2 linked regions of the Sus scrofa genome follow. The protein of the gene in region 1 interacts with the protein of each later gene in a pairwise test. Links are inferred from orthologs where the notes say so. Each region holds a gene or a part of one and is shown on either strand. Other genes may lie near its edges. The genes, in order: SH3GL1 and MTA1.

Region 1 (4,534 bases):
GCATGCAGAAGTTCCCAGGCCAGGGATTGAAACCAAGCTGCTGCAGTGACAACGCCAGATCCTTAACCTGCTGCGCCACAAGAGAAGTCCCTATCCTCACTTTTCTCAAACCTTAAAACAGGGTTTCTCAACCTCAGCACCGCTGATTTTGTGGAGGGTGATTCTGAGTTGTGTGAAGCTGCCCAGGGCACTGTAGGATGTTGAGCAGGACTCCTGGCCTCCACTCACTAGAAACTACCAAGCTGTGGCAACCAAAAATGTCTCCAGATATTGCCAGTGTCCTCTGGAAGGTGGGATTGGTCTGGCTGAGAACTACTGTTCTGCAGGAAGACAAATGCCCTGAAACTCTTTTCATGTAAAAAGAGGAATGCATTTACCTTTGGGCCAGATAAGTGAGACCATCAGAGACTGACTGGTTTAAAGCATATCATCAGTTTACACAGTGAAAACTCAATATATATCATTACAAGGTAACAAGAATGTTACCCTGGAACAGATGACCCCAAGGACATAAAAGAGGATGAAACAGTGTCCCTAAGACTGAGAAAAGAGACACACAAAGAGGAGTTCTGTGGTGCAGTGCGTTAAGGATCGGAGTGTTGTCACGGTTGCTGCTGTGGAGCAGATTTGATCTCCGGCCCAGGAACTTCTGCATGCCATAGGCACAGCCAAAAAAAAAAAAAACCACACAAAAAGGTGGACACGTCCAGATAAACAGTGGAGATGTTGGAGGTCTATGGAAACTATTGCAGAAGAGGGTGAGTCTTGAGAGCACAACTCAACACCAAATCGGTCAGGAGACCAAGACGACTCTCTCAGAGGAGAATGTGGCCATCGCAGCAGTTCTCTGGGACTGAGCCTCAGGTCAAGATAACAAATTGATCTGAACCACCAGCTTACATTGCACTGAGCTTTCCAGGATTCAAAGTGCTTCCCACAGGTCTTGATGCAGGCCATCCTTCTTTCCCCTTGAGAGACCTAGCTAGTTCCTCTAGCACAGTGTGTCTGGTAGGGACAGCATGGGCCACCAGCATAAGCCCTAATGGCTGGGGGCGGGGAGGGCTTCCACAGACCTGTCTATATGAAAGAACAAAGTAGCCCAGGAATTCTTCCAAGACCTATAGTTCCAGTAGGAGGGACTACATCAAGCCCCGAGGCAGTGATCAGCATGCCAAGGGGCTCTGATCAAGTGTGTGGGGGCTCTTCGGCCTGCTGAGCAAAGTCTAACGTAGGGCCAGGTCACTTAGTTCCATCCTGCTATGGCAAAGGGCTGTACTCTCAGAACATCCTAGAATCCCACTATATTAAGTCTCTCTTCCTCCAGGGTTTAGCCAGGAGTCTAGAGATAGACCCCCAATATCTTTAGCCCTGGACAATGCTAGGGTCATTACTTTTTCCCTCAAGGGGCAAAAGGTCCCAGCTGTGTATTACTGGACTTCTCTTCCCTCCCACTGGACTTCTCCAAACTGTGGGTAGAATCCAGTTGGCCAGTACGGCCCAAACAATTCCAACAACCATTGCTCATTCCTTCCTGGAGGCTATCCACACAAACTCCAGAACTAAGGTTCTTATAGGATCAAGGAATCTGGGGCTTCTTGGATCTGAAATTATAAACTAAATTTTGCATTTGCCCAATTTTCTGAGGAGTGGAACCACTCAGCTTTCACCAGACTCCTGAGCAGCGGGGCCTGGACTCTCCAAAACACCTATTCTGTCTGTTACAACATAAAATGCTTACATTCTTGGACTCAGCATTCCACTTCTGGTAACCTACCCAACAAATCTAATCCCACCTGTGGGCAGAGACAGACCCTGGCTATTTACTACAGTATTGGTTGCAGCAGAAAACCCCTGGAAACAACATCCATTGATTAACAACTAGTTAAGTTATGACAGACATCATGGAATGGAATACCACATACTCATCAAAAATCTAAGAGGCTCTAGAGGTAGGCTCTAGTGCTGTAGTTCTGGGGGAGGGGAAGGGAGGAGGTTCCCCTAAGGACTTTCGGTAGCATCTGGAGACATCTGCGGTTGTCACAACTGGGGGATGCTCCTGGTATCGAGTGGGTCGGGGCCAGGGATGCTACTGAACTCCCCAGACTGCCCAGGACTGCCACCACAACAGAGGATGATCTGAAGTGGAGAATTCTGTTTCTTGTGTGATCCCCAAAACACATTTAATTAAAAAACACCAAGAACATGGGTCTATGTAGACTATGTTACCACTGCTTGTGTATTTTTAAAGGAAAGGAGTACATTTATACACTTATCTTTTGTTATTGGTGACAGTCCCTGTCTCAGTGGAGAGGGGCTGGATGCCTGAGAGACTGAAGTGGGAGACCAACTTTTCAGTCTACCATTTCAACTTTGCAACGGGCCAACTGAAAAGGTTTTTTGTTTTTTAAAGACTCTAAACACAAAATTTCCCTGCCCTTGGGCTCTCTGGCAAGAGTCCTGTGTCGACAGCCTCGGGACTGCTTCCCCTTCTATCCCTTCCCCCTCCCTGCCCTTTCAGAGGGGAGGACAGGAGGAGAGGGGTCCTCGTCCGGAGCCAACCTCTGGGAGCACTTCTGCTCCTCTTAAAGGTCTGCCCACTCTTCTCATGGAGACTGGAGTCCACATGGCGGGCAGGGCCTGGGCCACCTCGCACAAGACCTCATTCCTTCTGGGCTGTCCCCATCCTGCCGGGGGACACGTGCCAACGCCGCCCCTTCGGTGCCCCCAGTCTTCTCCCGAGCCAAGACCAAGCCTGGCCTGGTCTGGCCCAGCTCCGAACAGCGTGGGGCCCGAAGTTCACCCCCTGCCTCGGCCTCTGCTCACCTGGCTCGCCTTGTAGAACTGCTTCTTCAGCCCGGCTACCGACATGCTGCCTCCTGACGTCGGGCCTCCAGCCCGGACCCAGCGAACCGGAGGGATCGCGCAAGCGACAGGCTCCCGGGCGCCGCCAACCCCCCGCGCGCCTCAGCGGGCCCCTACGGCACCGCCTCCGCCGTCCCCTCGCCAGCTCCGCGCCCGCCCCGGCACCGCCTCAGCCCTTTGCGCGCTCGCGCGGCCAGGATATTACATGGCAACCGCACACTTCCGGTGCCGGCCTCCGCGCGCGCGCCCGCGCTGCCCCGGCCCCATATGCGCACGCGCGCCCCCTGCCGGCCGGGTGGCGCAAGCGCGCTCCTACTACCGCAGAGGCCTCCTCGGTCAGTGAGTGGGCCCAGGCAAGCCTACAGGAGGAGCCTTAGCGACTGCAGCGTCCCCTGGACTCCCGGAGGTGGGCCTGACTTCTTAAGAAAGGCGGTTAGACCTTTCTGCAGAGAGGGAGGTCAAGGGACAAGTAGAACTCCAGAAGCTAAGTTTACAGAACTTTGGATGCCTGTTCACTAATCTCAGCTATAGCCAGTTCTTCTGTGCGTCTAGTACCTTCCACCATCATCGCGTCCTGCCCAGTGTTCATCTATTCAGTTGCCCAAGTCAGACATCAGGGTATCTCTTGTACCTCCTTTCCACTATCCCACCCCCAACTCTCTTCTCTGCCCTGATCAGACCATTCCACCAGCCTCCTCTCTGATGTGCCCACCTTCAGGTTCTTGCCTCCAATTCATTGCCTACAAGGCAACCAGAAAGATGCTTCTATGACACAATTCAGATCACATCAGCCCTCTGTTTAAAGTCCACCTACTGGCCTTAGAATACACTACCAATTTCCTAGGATGGCCTACAAAGCTTGCATAATTTGGCCCCCATCATCTTTTCTGGGTTTTTGTTTTTGTTTTGTTTTGTTTTTTAGGGCCACGCCTGTGGCATATGGAGGTTCCCAGGCTAGGGGTCTAATCGGAGCTGTAGCTGTGGACCTATGCCACAGCCCATGGCAAAGCCGGATCCTTAACCCACCAAGCCAGGCCAGGGATTGAACCTGCAACCTCACGGTTCCTAGTCGGATTCATTTCTGCTGTGCCATGATGGGAACTCCCCCATCACCTTTTCTGATTTCAGCTGTCTTCATCTATAATCCATGTGTTTTGCTAACATTGTTCCTCTCTTGCATATTCTTCCCCAATCTTTTCCCTTTTCCTTGTGCCTAAGAGGACTCTTTGCAATGGCACCTCCTCCAGGAAGCCTTCTCAGATTGATAAATGTTTACTGATATTGACTTTTTTAACCAACTGTTATTTTATTGAATGAAGTGGAAATTAATAGTGAATTGAAGTGAATAAATGAATCCAAAAAGAAGAATAATAAAATGACCAGAGCTAAAGTGCTTGCAATTTCATTTCCAAAATCTCTGACAGAGTTGAGTGCTTTTGTAAAGCAGAGGATTGCTAGAAGTTTCCAAGTGCCTCAATGGTAGGTCCTGGGCTAGATTAGAGGATTGCTTCGCAATAGGCAGGCTCCAACCTCTTTCCCCAAGATCCTGATGAGGCTATTATTAATAGTTTGAAATTTTTTCCATGTGATTCTGATGGGCATCCTGAAGGGTGATGCACTAGTCTCAATCATTTCAGATGTCAGAATGTTAGAGAAGGAAGGGAAAACATCC
Region 2 (4,361 bases), on another chromosome or scaffold:
TCGCCTGCCACCCTTGCGGCCACAGCTGCCACTGCCGACAGAAGGCCTCTGTCCAGGCCAGGTCACTTCCCAGGGACGAAGCAGGCCCTGCCCCTCCCAGGCCGACCCAATCGGCCCAGGCGGTCAGCTGGCCCAAAGCTGCAGCCAGGCCTTCACCCCGCCCGACTCCTGGCAGGGCCTTGGGACAGCCTGCCAGGTGGGACACGCAGGACTCCCAAGTGACGCGGGACTCTGCGAGCAACTTCTCATGTAAGTGTGGCCCACACAGTATTCGGGACACACGTATGCTAAGAAACTGTTTATCTGAAATTCAAATTTAACAGGCGTCCTGTGCTTCTCCCTGCTGAAGCCGGCACCTTCGGCAAAGGCTCTGCTCTCCGGGTCTTTAGTGGAGGAGACCCCGGAGGCGGGCGGGGGCAGGCCCCCGGCCAGGGCAGGACGCCTCCATCTGGACCCTGAGACACCCAGACACGGACCCCCGCGCAGCAGCAGCACCTCGGGACAGCAGCCCAGCCGGCCCGCACCAGGCCGGCCGAGCCCACGGCCCAGTGGACAGGGGCAAACGAGGCTTCCCTGCAGGGACCGAAGGGGTCCAAGTGGAAGCAGCCCCACCCATGGGCTACACCACAGGACCCCTGTTTACACCAAGGGAGGGGGGTTGCCAAGAGGAGGGTGACAGAAGTCCAAGTCCAGGGGCACCCCGGCCCTTGGAACCAGTCGCGACAAGCAGGCACGGGGCGGGGGGCCTGGGAGGGAGAGGCAGAGGAGGCCACGGAGGGCCTCTGGGTGACACCCAAGCCTCCCTCTCCAGCCTCGGTGTCTGCGGCCGGCCGGGAGCTGGGCGCCCCTGCCCTGGGAACACTCCATTTACTGAACACGCTGAGCAAGACTTCAGGGCCACAGCCTGGGGTGGGAGGTGAGCCCACACCTGCAGAGAGGCTCTGCGTGGGGAAAGCCAAGGGGCACCGAGTGGGCGGGGGGACGGCCAGACCAGAGGAGGGCCTTGGGCTGGGCAGGAGGGGGTCTGCGCTGAGGAAAGGCGTTCCAGGAGGGCGAGGGGGTGGCACTGAAAGGGGGCAGCTGCGAGGCGGGCAGGAGCCCTGGGCTGCAGCAGCTGGGCTAGGGGCCAACGGACGGAGAAAGCGACTCCGTCCGTGGGGTTCCACGGGGGGCCACCCAGCCTGGCAGTGTATTGAGAGACCCCGGGGGCCTCCCTCCACAGATCGGCTCCCCCCCGGACTGGAGAAGTTGGGAAACCAACAGGCCCCTCTCTGAAGGCCCCCGCCCCCTAGCCTGCTCTCCCCCCGCCACCGCCGTGTCCACCAGGGGCCTGCTGCCGAATGGGGTAAGGGCCCCCATTTCCGTGACACCTCTGAGCCAGAGAGGAGGGAGGGCTGGACAGCGGGGCGGGTGCGCCCAAGGTCACAAGGTTGGCCTGGCACTCGGGGGTCAGCCGGCCAGCGAGAGAGGGTAGACTGAAGACACAGGTGACTTGGAAAGCCAGGCCAGAGCTGTCCTCAGCCCTGACCAAAGGGGGGCAAGTGGGCGGCTCAAAGTCTCCGAGAGGGTGGGCATCTCACCACCTGTGAAGGACCAGATGAGGCCAGCTCGGGACCCCGTGGGGACCCGTAGCACGAGCCTCCTAGAGCCCCCTCCCCACAAAGTGGGGCAAAGCCCAAAGCTGGAGGCTTCCTGGGGCTTGAGTGGGAGAAGCAACAGCCCCAGGAAGGAAGCCCCCACCCCGGATCTCAGCTAGCTCTGCACCCCCTAACCAGGGGGCCACCTGCCTCTTTCCCAAATGCAAAGCACCTCCCTGCTGGGCCGCAGAAACAGGAGACAGCAGAGAAAAGATCAGGGTGCCAGCAGCACGCTGGGGGGAGCACAGGCCGCTGAGGACCTGGAGAGGGAATCCTGCCGGGGAAGCCCCCAGGCCCACGCCGGCCCAGAGGGCAGCTCCCAGGTGACCGCAGGCTCGCGGCGGGAACGCGGCCGCCACATACAGCTCCCCACCCCCCGAGGGGACCACTGCCCCCCGCCCCCAGCAGCTGAACCAGCCCTCGGCGCCGCCGCGGGGGTGCTCTCCACACCACAAGGGCCCCAAACTCCCACTCCCAGGAGCCGCCAGCACCTCCCAATGCCACGTGCTCCTGCTCCCGAGTTGGGGGGATCCCGCCAGGCGCCCCAGCCCCAAAGGATGCTCTGCGACTCCCAGAGCTCCTCAGCCCCACGCTCAGCCCCCAACAGGTGGGCAGAGCCCCCGCCTGGCCGCTGCCGGCCCAGCCACTACCCCCCACCGGCTCCAGGAGGGGCCGGGCCAAGGGGCCAAGTCGGGTGGCGACGAGCACGGCCAGGGCAGAGGTGGTGGTGGAGGAGCCGGCTGCTCAGAAAAGATGGAGCGGGAAGGGGAAGGAGACAGGGGCGGGGGGGGGGGCGCAGCAGAGGAGTGGGCGCCGCGGGCAGGAGGGAGGGTGGCCCAGGCAGGCGGCCTGCAGTGGGGGAGGGGTGCAGAGGTGGAGGGAGGGGACCAGAAGTGGGCCGATGGGGGGGCGATGGGGAGGCGGGCGGAGGGGGAGGGGGGAAGCGGAACGGGGGGAGGGGCGGGACAAGATGGGGGACCCGGGCAGGGGGTGCCGAGGGGGCGCGCGCGGGGGGAAGGGGGCGGCGGACGGCGAGGCCCGGGGCGCCGACCGGGGCCTGAGGCGCGGCGGGGCGGCGCGATGGGGGGCCCGGCGGGGACGCGGGTGGCGGGGCCGGGGCCCGCGGCGCCTCGCGGCGGCGGCGGCGGGCGGGCGGCGGCCTTACCTCCGACCCTGTACATGTTGGCGGCCATGTCCGGCGGCGGCGGCGGAGGCCGCGGGCTGGGCCGGGCTGGGCGCTGGGCTCGGCGCGGGCGGCCTGGAAAATGGAGGCGCGCGGGCGCGGGGCGCGGGGGCGCGGGCGGGCGGGCGGTTTAAAGGGGCCGCGCTGCCGCCGCCGCCGCCGCCGCCGCCGCTGCCGCCGCCGCCGCCGCCGCCGCCGCCGCCGCCGCCGAGGCCGCCGAGGCCGCCGAGGCCGCGCAGGGACCGAGGGCCGCGGCGCGGGCGGGAGAGGAAGAGGAGGAGCGGCCGCGGGGAGGGAGGGGCCTCGGGCGCCACCGCCCACCGCGCGGGCCGTTACCCGCCCCGCGGCCGCGCGCTCCCCGCCGCCTCCCGCGCCCCCGCCCCGCCCCGCCCGCACCCCGGGCCCCGGGCCGCAGCGGCCCATCGGCCCTCCGCCCCGGGTCCGCCCTGGCCCCCCCCCGCCCCCCGCCCGGCCCTTTCCGCGCAGCCTCCCGCCCGAGGGCGCCCTCCGAGTCCGCGCGTTCGCAGGCGCTCGGCCGCCCGCCGCTCCGTGGGCGGCCCGGGCCCTCCGGCCCCGGCCCTCGGCGCCCCGCCCGCACGGCCCCCGGCACACAGTTGCGGGCCGCTTTCCCCCACCTCTCAGCTGGCACGGCCCCCCTGACGGTGCCCGAGGGAGGAGGGGTGGGCGTGCCCGGAGGAGGCCGCCCTCCGGAAGGCGCCCCCCGCCCCCGGGGGGGCCCCCCCCCGCAGGCACAGCCCAGACCAGGGGGTGCAGGGAGGCGCGGGGGCCGCGGGAGCGAGCGAGGCTCCCGCCTGTCCTCCCAGCCCCGCGTGTGAGCTGGGCGCCTGAGGTCCAGGACGGCCCGGACGCTGCCCGGGGAGGCGGGTGGGGAGGCTGCTGGGCGGAGGGGATGGAGCCCCGCACGGAGAGAAGCAAGGGGCCGGGTCCAGGATCAACCTGACTGCCAGGGGGCTGCAAAGGAGGAGCCAGCCCTGTGGGACCTGGAGGGGCTGGGGCTCCAGAGGCCCCAGGGCTGACCGCCTGCCAGGAAAGGCAGAGGAGCAGGGGCTAGGTGCTGCTGACATGTAGGCCGTCCCCCAAGTGTCGCGAGGTGCGATGGTCTCCCTCGCTCCCCGCAGGCCTGGTCCCTGCCTCCGGGGCCTGCATCTCCTCATCTGGACGGCGAAGCTGCAGCACTACCTAACAGGTGGACCAAAACTTAATCAGAACCCCCAATAAATACATGCCCAGGCAGCTGCTGGTCACAGAGAGTGCCCACAACGTCCTGCCTGTAAAGTGCCTGCTCCTGCCTCCCTTCTGGAAATAAGACAGCCCCTGGAGAGCAGAGGCAGCTGAAAGGTGGGGGCCGTTTTCCTCCCGGCGCGGGTGCTGGCAGGTGAGTGGCAGTCGGAAGCCATTGGAATTGCACGACTCCCCCAAGGAGGAGGAATCGCCCTCCCAAAGCACCGTGACTTCTAATAAACCCTTGGGAGAGGCCGCCAAGCCCGCGCCCGCTCCTCGGCTGGCTTTCGCCCTGTGTT

The links.
Region 2: the proteins of SH3GL1 (region 1) and MTA1 interact in binary tests that used the Homo sapiens proteins (3 or more experiments, as listed by UniProt). The two-hybrid records come from large-scale screens. The link is inferred for Sus scrofa from reciprocal best matches to the Homo sapiens genes SH3GL1 and MTA1.

What each region holds. Positions count from the first base shown.
Region 1 is NC_010444.4:74,412,980-74,417,513, reverse strand, and holds the start of SH3GL1 (endophilin-A2), read right to left. Parts: upstream 3,057-4,534; 5' UTR 2,869-3,056; coding exon 2,824-2,868; intron 2,817-2,823; exon of another isoform or gene 1-2,816. UniProt on the Homo sapiens protein: Implicated in endocytosis. May recruit other proteins to membranes with high curvature.
Region 2 is NW_018084979.1:3,459,590-3,463,950, reverse strand, and holds the start of MTA1 (metastasis-associated protein MTA1), read right to left. Parts: upstream 2,911-4,361; 5' UTR 2,831-2,910; coding exon 2,803-2,830; intron 1-2,802. UniProt on the Homo sapiens protein: Transcriptional coregulator which can act as both a transcriptional corepressor and coactivator. Acts as a component of the histone deacetylase NuRD complex which participates in the remodeling of chromatin.